Linked DNA regions of Xenopus tropicalis. The protein of the gene in region 2 interacts with the protein of the main gene of each other region in a pairwise test. Links are inferred from orthologs where the notes say so. Each region holds a gene or a part of one and is shown on either strand. Other genes may lie near its edges.

What was found.
Region 1: the proteins of sh2d4a (region 2) and rint1 interact in binary tests that used the Homo sapiens proteins (3 or more experiments, as listed by UniProt). The two-hybrid records come from large-scale screens. The link is inferred for Xenopus tropicalis from reciprocal best matches to the Homo sapiens genes SH2D4A and RINT1.
Region 3: the proteins of sh2d4a (region 2) and hmbox1 interact in binary tests that used the Homo sapiens proteins (3 or more experiments, as listed by UniProt). The two-hybrid records come from large-scale screens. The link is inferred for Xenopus tropicalis from reciprocal best matches to the Homo sapiens genes SH2D4A and HMBOX1.

What each region holds. Positions count from the first base shown.
Region 1 is NC_030679.2:77,082,506-77,086,161, reverse strand, and holds part of rint1 (RAD50-interacting protein 1), read left to right. Parts: intron 1-30; coding exon 31-256; intron 257-2,915; coding exon 2,916-3,053; intron 3,054-3,402; coding exon 3,403-3,602; intron 3,603-3,656. UniProt on the Homo sapiens protein: Involved in regulation of membrane traffic between the Golgi and the endoplasmic reticulum (ER); the function is proposed to depend on its association in the NRZ complex which is believed to play a role in SNARE assembly at the ER.
Region 2 is NC_030677.2:96,289,680-96,293,335, forward strand, and holds part of sh2d4a (SH2 domain-containing protein 4A), read right to left. Parts: intron 919-3,656; coding exon 783-918; intron 1-782. UniProt on the Homo sapiens protein: Inhibits estrogen-induced cell proliferation by competing with PLCG for binding to ESR1, blocking the effect of estrogen on PLCG and repressing estrogen-induced proliferation. May play a role in T-cell development and function.
Region 3 is NC_030681.2:151,828,293-151,831,596, reverse strand, and holds part of hmbox1 (homeobox-containing protein 1), read left to right. Parts: intron 1-582; coding exon 583-678; intron 679-1,095; coding exon 1,096-1,190; intron 1,191-3,182; coding exon of another isoform or gene 3,183-3,188; coding exon 3,189-3,304. UniProt on the Homo sapiens protein: Binds directly to 5'-TTAGGG-3' repeats in telomeric DNA. Associates with the telomerase complex at sites of active telomere processing and positively regulates telomere elongation.

The DNA of each region.
Region 1 (3,656 bases), on a different chromosome or scaffold from region 2:
CAGCAGTTTGTGTATCTGATTATTCCCCAGCTGGAGTTCACGCGTGGTTTAGTCATGCTGGTGCTGGAGAAGCTTGCAGTGGACATCCCGTTACTGCTATATGATGACATTCTGTTTTGTCACCTTGTGGATGAAGTACTTTTGTTTCAGAGAGAACTTTACACATCACATGGTTATCCCAGCAATCTCCCAAACTGCATGCACATTCTATCTGAAGAAACCTGTTTTCAAAGATGGCTGACAGTGGAGAGAAAATGTAAGAATGCTTTGCATTAGTTGTGACTATTTCTAATTGATTTTTTTGCGCCTGAACCTGTCATTTTGCGTTCTTAAAGGAGAATGAAAGGCTAATAAAGAGTTAATCTCAAGCTGCAGGCATACCTTCAGTTGTCTCAATAGTGCCCTTATGTCTCCCCATATTTCTCCTGTTCAGATGATCAGAAGCCTCATAGGAAAAAAAAAATGCTGAGCTCTGTAAAGAAAGTACCCATAATGCCTTGGTCCTGAACTAATACCAAGATCGGTGTACATACGCAGTTTGTAAGACTATGAGGAAGCTGATTGGCTCAGATCCACATTCCTAAGGAGGGGGCGAGTGAGTTCTTAGTATTCTTGAGGGAGGGGGGAGCAGGAGAGAGGAGAGCTGCGTGTCTCTGGCACAGGAAAACAAAGACAACAAAACCTGTTTCTTTTGAGAAAGGACTGCAGTGTTTCTGTGAGTGCTTATGGCTGTATTTACATAGACCTTTCTGATAAAACTTACTTAGTTTTTACCTTTCCTTCTCCTTTAACGCTAAGACTTTTAATTAACTGTTAATAGTGACCATCTTATAAGCACAATTAAATTCTGATTAATATATCCATTAGTTAAATGTGAACTTTTATTCTTTCTGTGTACCCCTCCTCCCTATCCCATATTGAAAAATGTATGATACAAAAAAAACCCCCTGCAAATGTTAATGCGCATATATTTTATTTCATTAATGTTAAATGTTGGCACAAGGGTGTCCAAACTTTTGTATGTGCCTTACATACTATTCTCTTTGTTCCTATGCTTTATTAACACCCCCTTTGGCTCAGATAACAGCTGGTTAATGGCTTTTGCATCTATCTTTAAATATTTCACATTTAGTTGTATGGATTTTTACCACTTTCCATTCAGATAATTTGTCATTTTTAACTGTTTAAGATCTAACCACAGATTTTTAATGATGTTTGAGTCAGGGTACTGTGAGAGCAATCCCAAATCCTTCAGCTTGCTTTTCTCATTATTGTGGCTTGTCAGGTATGTTTAGGATCATTGTCTTGGTGTAGGATCCAGCCCCATTTTAGCTTCAGCCAAAGAGTTGAATTTGGACTTCATCAGTCCCTGCACTTTTTGCCAAAAGCACTCTGGTTTGTCTAGATGCTGTTTTACATGCCTCAGACATTGATGTCTGTGATTAGGTTGCTTGTAAGGCTTCCTCCTGTTGACTGTGTAACATGACTGCTGTGTCAGCCAATTCTTCCTGCTAGTCTTTTGTACCCATATGAGGGTTTGTTTTTCTGAAAGTTTTCACATATTGCATTGACTTCCAATGCTTTGCAAGCTGGAGCATTTTTATATATCCCTCTCCTGCTTTGTAGGCATCAATTGGCTTTATTTTCAGATCGTCGCGTAGTTGCTAAAGGAGCCTGTAATTGCCGAGTGACAGCCCAAAGTTTGGGGTCTCAGAGATTTTATTAAGTCCACAGGTAACAACTCCTATGGTTATTAAGGCCTAATGAACCAATTAGGGTGAAAGATGTTGCAAAAACAGCATTTATCACTGAACAATTAAAAAGATGTCCAAACTGTTGCACATGCCACAATTACCGTATCTACTCGAGTATAAGCCGATCCGAATATAAGCCGAGGTACCTAATTTTACCTAAGAAAACTGTAAAAACGTATTGACTCGAGTATAAGCCTAGGGTGGGAAATGCAGCAGCTACTGTGGCTATGAGTTCCTGGATTGTTATACATGGAATTGCCCTGGCATTCGGCACGCACGTGCAAATTAACTCTGCCATTATCTGCATATCAGCAAATAATAATATTAATGACATTGGCTACTGATTCCCTGTGATGGAGCTGTTTGCCTCAAGGCAAGGTAATTTGATTGTGTACAATTTGTACCAGTTATGATGGCTAAGGCTAGGAGGTGTTTTCTCCACTGGTGTGTGATCTGCTGCCCTCTGCCCTGAGTTTTAGTATGCCCTGAATTTCACCCCCTGTGTGCATTGACAGTCAGCTACCATGCTTGTTAGTGTGTACTTGGATATACAAAAAAAAGTTCCCAGACAAGAAAATATGGCTCTACTTAGACCAATGCAGCCTCAGACAAACAGAGCCATGGCTTGATATTGCAGAACAAAAAATTAGTTAAGTTATATTTCTTTCAACTAGATTTGTGATCACAAACGCATAAAATAAAGACCATGATGCTCACCTTACAAATACAATGTAAGTACGCTTATGGCAGGTTTCCATTTCATTATATACAGTCAGCTTGATACATGCTCATTCTTAAATGCACTGTAATAGATCAATCTGGCGTTCAGTGGGTGAGCTGTGCAGCTGTGCCAGCAAATCACTAATGAATACGGGAAAGAGGCACCTCTTGTGAAACTATTCGGCGTGCGAGCCGAATGCCAGCACAGCCTATATACTCGAGTATAAGCCAAGCATGAGTTTTTAAGCACATTTTTCGGCTTATACTCGAGTATATACGGTATTTTCTTTTGGTGAAATTAAATGTAACTCCTGCAGTTGTTTCCTACTTTTGACTTGTAAAATGAATTAAATGTTATTTAGCAAGGGCGACAAAACGTTTGCATTGAGTATCATCTTTTCAAAAGTTTAAAATGTGTTTGTTGCATCAATGTTTTTCTAGTGGCTCTAGAAAAGATGGATTCCATGCTGTCTGCTGAGGCTGCCTGGACCTCACAATATAAAGATATATCTGATGTGGATGAAATGAAGGTTCCAGATTCTGCTGAAACATTTATGACTCTCCTACTTGTTATCACAGGTAACTCAAAGGCTGTCCCAAACAGTGCTACCTCAGTCTACTTCTTTTCATGCTAGGAGAGCCCACTATAACAGATATTAATTTATCACCCAGTGACCAAATGCTACTTTGTTCATTTAACTATAAGGCTTATAGCACATGAGCCAAAAAAACTCAAATAAGCTCTCTTGCAACCTGTTCATGTGAATGGAATCTAATTCTAATAACATAGATGTGGCATATGAAATAAATGAGATCCTTGAGCATTGCTACTATGTATTCAGACTTTTAACATGCAACTACCCATAGTTCCTCTGGTGGCCCCACTTATTATAATGTTGATGGTTGTATGAGCTTGTGTTTTTTTTAGACAGGTACAGAAATTTGCCCACAGCATCCAGAAAGCTAAAATTCCTGGAGCTGCAAAAGGACTTAGTTGATGACTTCAGGATACGTTTAACACAAGTGATGAAGGAAGAGAGCAGAGATCCCCTGGGCTTCAGATATTGTGCAATACTCAATGCTGTCAACTACATTGCAACAGTTCTTGGAGATTGGGCTGACAATGTTGTAAGTAAGACCCATACTATTAATTGCCGCCACTGGGGCATACTCAGTCTTTTA
Region 2 (3,656 bases):
AAACCTTAACTGACACCCGACCCTAACCCACAAAATGTTGTCAATGTAGGACCTGCACCCAACCTGTACCCATGTCTTTGCACTCTGTACCCCACTTCTGCAGGCACCACAGTTCCCAAAGACATGGAACTTCAGAAGCAAAGCAGAAGTGTAAATCCCCAAACTGACCCGCACCCAACCTGAACCTGCAATGGTTTCCCAAATTTCAACTGTGACCCGTCTTACCTAAGGGTAAACCTGCGGGTTGCAGGTCAACCCACACATCACTATCACAACCATTGATTAAAAAAAAACACCTTGCCAGGTGTTAAACATGAAGGTGGATCTATTAAGCTTTCAAGTTTTGTGGCAGCAGACACCTTGTACATGTAGAAGGAAACATGAATTCCACCATATTAGCAAATTCTGAAAAACTTAACCTCAAAATCCACCATGAGCTACTTGAATAAAAGCAAGCTGAAGGTTTTGGAATGGCCCTCACAGTCCCCTGACTTTAACATTATTGAAGATCTGTGGGAACGTGTTTATTAGCTGTGAATACTGACAAAGCTTTTCCAAAGTTCTGCACATACCACAATAACTATTTGCTTCCACCTGTGTTTGTTTCTATGATATAAAGTTTATGAAACACCATGTAACTTTGCATTAACATCTGTAACATTTTAACATGACTGATACTTGCAGTAATTGTTTCCTACTTTTTCACTTACAAAACTAAATATGTAAGTTTGGCAAAGGGTGCCCAAACATTTGCATTCAACTGTTTTTGTACAACGACTTACACGATTCCTGCCATTCTTTATCTTCTTTTTCTAATTTTTGTTTCACTTCTTGTGCTTCTTTCCAGTTCATGTAAATTTCTTGAGTTCTCTCTTGAAGTCTGTCATTTTCTTTTTCTTTCAGGATATTTTCTTTCTTCTGTAACAAAACACAAAAAGAAACAGGTTTTGTTAATACCCTTTTAAATTTTAAGTAAGCACCGTGCAGATTCCAAAAACTGATTCCGAATCCTAACTTGCAAATTAGGCTACTAAACAGGGCCGGATTTCTCAATAGGGCACCCGAGGCCGCCCACCTCGGCACCCAAGCCGCACGCATGCGCCGAGGGGAGAGGATGCTCTAAAGTTTCTGCGCGACCTGGTGCGGCTAGGCGGCATGCCACCCCTAAATTTCTGCTGCCCTAGGCCCGGGCCTTTGTGACCTTGCCACAAATCCGAGCCTGCTACTAAAGGGTTAAATACAAGTGCATAGGTGCTTTAAGGTTTGTATAATTTTTAAATCTGCATGAATGGGGGATGGCCTCGAGGCGCCAGGATTGGATTTCCGGCGCTGTTCTCACCATCTGACCAAGGCAGATAAAATTCAGTGAGCAGTACCTTGCACTTCATAAATCAAAGAAAACACAAATGGAAAGTTGTTGCTCAACGTTAGAAATGAGGACTTCAAGTTCTTTTTTCTTTGTGCTTATAATTATAAATATCTCACATGTTTTAAGTTTAGGAGCCACACTTTTGTGCATGCCACAATATCTGTTATCTTTGTTTCTGTGTTTCAAAGTAAGTGAAATAAAATATAACTGTGCAACATTTGCAATTATGTTTACACATAATCAGTTTTCTGCTTGTATTTCCTGGTACACAAGTTCTAATTTTAAAAAAATTATTTTTTCTACTCTACTTTCTGTGCTGTTTATATATCTGGCCAGTAGAGGTCATTGGCAACAAGGATGTACCTTCTTTCTTCCATGCCCTGGTGTGCCTTCCAGATTTATATTTTTGAATCTTCTATACTTAACTGCTAACCAAGGAAAGCTACCTTCTGCTGGAAAGTACACTTTACTTATTCACTGTTCAGGAGCATGTAGACAATATTTTTTCAATACACAACTTTTTTGTGCCAAAAGTAAATGTGGTTGCTGCATGATATAAATTACTTCAATGTGGACAATATAATGGTGAATCTACAAACAATGTGTAGCATCTTTACGAGAGTTGGTATTTACCTGGTAGTTTGGTAAGTTAAGGACTGGGGCAGACGGGGAGATTATTCGCCCGCGACAAATCTCCCTTGTCGCAGGCGACTAATCTCCCCGATATGCCATCCCACCGGCTTGAATGTAAATCGCCGATGGGATGGCATATGCGGCGTCACGATTTCCCAAAATCGCGGAAGTTGCCTTTAGAGGAAAAGTAGATTAGTAAAAAAAAAAAAAAAAAACAAGCTCTCCTTCAGAGAAAGAATGCTCTTAGAGCATGATTTACCCCTGGCAAAGGCAAGCCAAGTTGAAGCAGAAGAGGCAAAAACTGCTGCAAATGTACAGACTGGGAATCCAGCACCTGAGCGTAATAAGGAACATTCTCAGGTCAACCACAATGATACGTAAAAGGGATTCGCTTATACTGCAAAACAGAGCAGCAAATGCACATCAAAAATTCATTTTGGTGTGGTTCAACACAGAACACTCCAAACTATGCTACATATCCTGCAGAAGCAAATATTATTCTGATATGACAACTCTCCTTCTACAGATGTTTGCAAATTTACTCTAGATATATCTTAAAGGAGAAGAAAAGTCTAAATCACTGGAGGGTGCCAAATGTTAGGTTTGCTTACTGGGGGAGTTATTGAATCACTTACCTGATACCCCGGGCCAGTGCTCCTGTTAGCATAAAACTGCACAGGCCTGGGGTATTCCTGTAGAAGTTTTCGGCGCTATCTTTCTTCCTCTAATTTCCTGAACCAGAACGAAAAGAAGAAGGAAGACTATGAAGAAGATGACGATGAGAATCTTCTGCAGAGATAGCCTGGGCCAGTGCTCCTGTTCACTAAAAACTGCACTGGCCCAGGGTATCAGGTAAGCAATCATAATCACTGGGCGGTGCCTAACATTTTGACACCCCCGGTGATTTAAACTTTCCTTCTCCTTTAAGTACAAATAAAGTTGGTACATCCATTGAAGACAAACTTACTGTATGTGCACTGTTACTGTTAGTGCTGTGGCTGCTGACAAAGGTTATTCTATTAACCTGATGCTGGATACATGATGAGCATTTTCTATACTACCAGAGGATATTCAGTGGAAATACTTTGCAATAGATCGTTAGCAGCCATCACTTGTCAAGTATTTAAGTGATCAAGTTCCTTTGCTTGCCACTGCACTGATTTACTTGGGAGGGGCCACTTTGCTGCATTAAGCCTGCAGTAAGTGGATGGTCACATTATTACAGCCCCAGCTCCTGACACACAACCAATGTCCAAAATGTTATTCTGCACTTCACTGGGGTGTATACAGAATTACATTTCACACAAAAAGAATGATTGTCAGTGAACTGGTGTAGCCTTTATAAATACATAAACAAAATGAAGTGTATTACAAGTTTGGCCAAAAAGGCGGCAGCCTCGGGGCACAGACTTATCAAATGCGCGCCTGCATCTGTGCGCCCTCTCATTCCAAGAAAGGGAATCTTTAAGAGCTGAGGAGGGGTGTACTTGCCAAGTCTTATCCAAACCCTATTCTGCAATGGTTGCCCAAATTTTAACCTACTCTAAACCTAAACCGAGTGCAGAGAGTGCTGTTGTGCTTTGTGACTTGGCTGCCTCAGGGTGTCACTTAGCCCTGAGATGGCACTGGCTAACCAACTACATCAAAGTCCCTG
Region 3 (3,304 bases), on a different chromosome or scaffold from region 2:
AGTAGAAATCACCGCCATCTACATAATTCATGTCTGCACAATAATTCATTTGCTATTAAGGGCCTTGGTAGGGTGCCAGGCTGCTCAGCGGCAGTGCCAGGGCCGGCTTGGCTCAGTGTAGGTGCCTCGTACACACACAGCGCTCTAGCGCTCTCTTGCACTCTCAAGGTGAACGTTGGCCCAGCACTAGTAAAGGGGAACTTGATTTACCCCAGCAGCCAGGGAGGGGGTTGTTTAAGAAGGTGTATAGTAGCGGGGCAATAAAAAATAAGGTGGTACGTTCCACTTGGGCAAAGCAGATTGTAGGTACAGTGCTCCCTCCACCAAAGTGGGGCAACTGGCACATTGGCAGGCAGCACTAGTGTAGGTAGGGGCAGGTAGAGACCAGAGCTTTGTTATAGAGGGGCAACTGGCACATTGGCAGGCAGCACTAGTGTAGATGGGGGCACGTAGGGGCCAGAGCTTTGTTATAGAGGAGTAACGGGGGCATTTGCGCCTGGTCCTGCACAGATTGCAGATGAGCCCCAATATCTCTATAAGCAGAACAGTGACATTTATTGTCTCCTCTCTGTGTTTGTGCAGGCAAGAAGCTGTCGGACCTGGAGCGGGTCACCTCGCTGAAAGTCTACAACTGGTTCGCTAATAGGAGGAAGGAGATCAAGAGACGAGCCAACATTGGTAATGTGCCAGGGCAAGCAGCAGCCCCCAGCATGGCACCCTGGCACCCCTATATTATGGGCCACATTCCTGCAGTTTGTTCAGCCATTTCTGCCATCTGTCATTATGTCGGCAGCGTGTAGCATAGGCCGTAGTAACACACGAGTGCCAGGCTCCTAAATGGACCCCCCTCGTGCCAAGGCTGCTCCAAACCTTTTGCCTATTGTTATTTCTTGCTCTAAACAGGGGAATTGGCACTATCCCGTGTTAGTAATTTGTTTGGCCTTCAACCCCCCTTAATAATTATTACAGAAAGTTTGCATTACTTCCCCTTTATCTGCAGGAATGCCTTTGTCTCCCCCCCATCATTCTCGTACCCCTAGGAATACTGACGTTGCCATTGCAGATAATTTAGGGCCATGTTTGCTTTTTTCGAAGAAGCAGCAATCCTGGAGAGTCATGGGATCGATGTACAGAGCCCCGGGGGTCATTCCAACAGCGACGACGTGGATGGAAATGATTATTCGGAACAGGTGAGCACCTGGGCTTCTCCTCTCTGCTCCCCCTATAGCTGAATAAAGGGAATGGGGGATATGGAACAGCGCTCCATCAAGGTCAGTACTGGGTATTTGCTTCTCGGGCTCCTCATACATTCCTGCTTATTATTGCACAGGTTTGTAAATAGCTCTCAGCTGATGGGTTGGTTGGGATCTCCAGAGGGTTCTGCTGCATCTATGAGTTGATATTACAGTGCCCTGTAGTTCAGCCGGGCTTTGTAATGATACTGTTCCCAATGGGGAGATCTCCAAACAAATAAGGTGTTGCCTAAGGGTGAAGACACACAGAGCTACTAGTAGCAGCTACAGAAATAGTGCTGATCAATTACTGATAATTGTCTGTGTGTTTTAGCAGAGGCAATTCTCAGTATTGTCTATGGCAGGATATTTTCTTGCATAGTAGCCGTGAAAAAGTAGCTGCTACTAAGTAGCCCTGTGTGTCTTCACCTTAATGGCTCCCAGGGGGCAATCATTTGGGTAATAAATAGGGCCTATTCAAACCTGCCCAGTAGATATCTTGCTATTCCCTGGCCAGTAATGGGTAGGGCAGGCTATCAGTGTTTGGCTCCATACACAGGGACAAGGGGGTAACATGGCGGCTGTGCTGCGCAACTTTTAGCCGAAAAACCGCTACTATCTACCTTGTTGTTTTAAACTTGATGTCTGGTTTTTATGAGAAGAACACATCGTTTGGTTGAAAAATTATAATTAAGAACCTGGAATGGCGTAATTTCATTGGTCCCAGTGCTGAGAGATAATTAGGGCCCTCCCAACAACGCCAGTCTCGCTCCCCCCCCCCCCCCCCCCCCGGCACATTTTCCTTGATTTTAATAGCGGTTATTTTGGGACTGAGGAAACTAAATAAGCATCTTTATTTGTATGATTTAATGAAAAGCTACAGAGCGCAGGCACTTAATTACACTGGTGGGAAATAACCACTCATACAGCTGTGCCCAAAAGGAACCTGTATTGTGCCACTCCGACCAGCAACTGCCAACTGGGAGCCCCGCCACTCAGCAACCTCCTGCTGGAGTATCACTCATGTATTATAAGGGATAATGTACCCCCTACTGTAAATGATAAGGATATTAGCAGTCACTGAGGGGTTCTGTGCCCATATAAAGGCACAAGGCTGCAGGCTGAGTTATACAGGGAACTCTGAGTATCACTCATGTATTATAAGGGATAATGTACCCCCTACTGTAAATGATAAGGATATTAGCAGTCACTGAGGGGTTCTGTGCCCCCCATATAAAGGCACAAGGCTGCAGGCTGAGTTATACAGGGAACTCTGAGTATCACTCGTGTATTATAAGGGATAATGTACCCCCTACTGTAAATGATAAGGATATTAGCAGTCACTGAGGGGTTCTGTGCCCATATAAAGGCACAAGGCTGCAGGCTGAGTTATACAGGGAACTCTGAGTATCACTCATGTATTATAAGGGATAATGTACCCCCTACTGTAAATGATAAGGATATTAGCAGTCACTGAGGGGTTCTGTGCCCCCCATATAAAGGCACAAGGCTGCAGGCTGAGTTATACAGGGAACTCTGAGTATCACTCATGTATTATAAGGGATAATGTACCCCCTACTGTAAATGATAAGGATATTAGCAGTCACTGAGGGGTTCTGTGCCCATATAAAGGCACAAGGCTGCAGGCTGAGTTATACAGGGAACTCTGAGTATCACTCATGTATTATAAGGGATAATGTACCCCCTACTGTAAATGATAAGGATATTAGCAGTCACTGAGGGGTTCTGTGCCCATATAAAGGCACAAGGCTGCAGGCTGAGTTATACAGGGAACTCTGAGTATCACTCATGTATTATAAGGGATAATGTACCCCCTACTGTAAATGATAAGGATATTAGCAGTCAGTGAGAGAGAGAGATTGATATTATTTATCTCTTGTGTTCGGGACTTTGACTTGTATTTAACGGCTCTCATTTCCCCCCTTACATGCTTAGGATGACAGTACGAGCCATAGCGACCATCAAGACCCAATCTCATTAGCAGTGGAAATGGCAGCCGTCAACCACACCATCTTGGCGCTGGCCCGGCAAGGAACCAACGAGATCAAGAC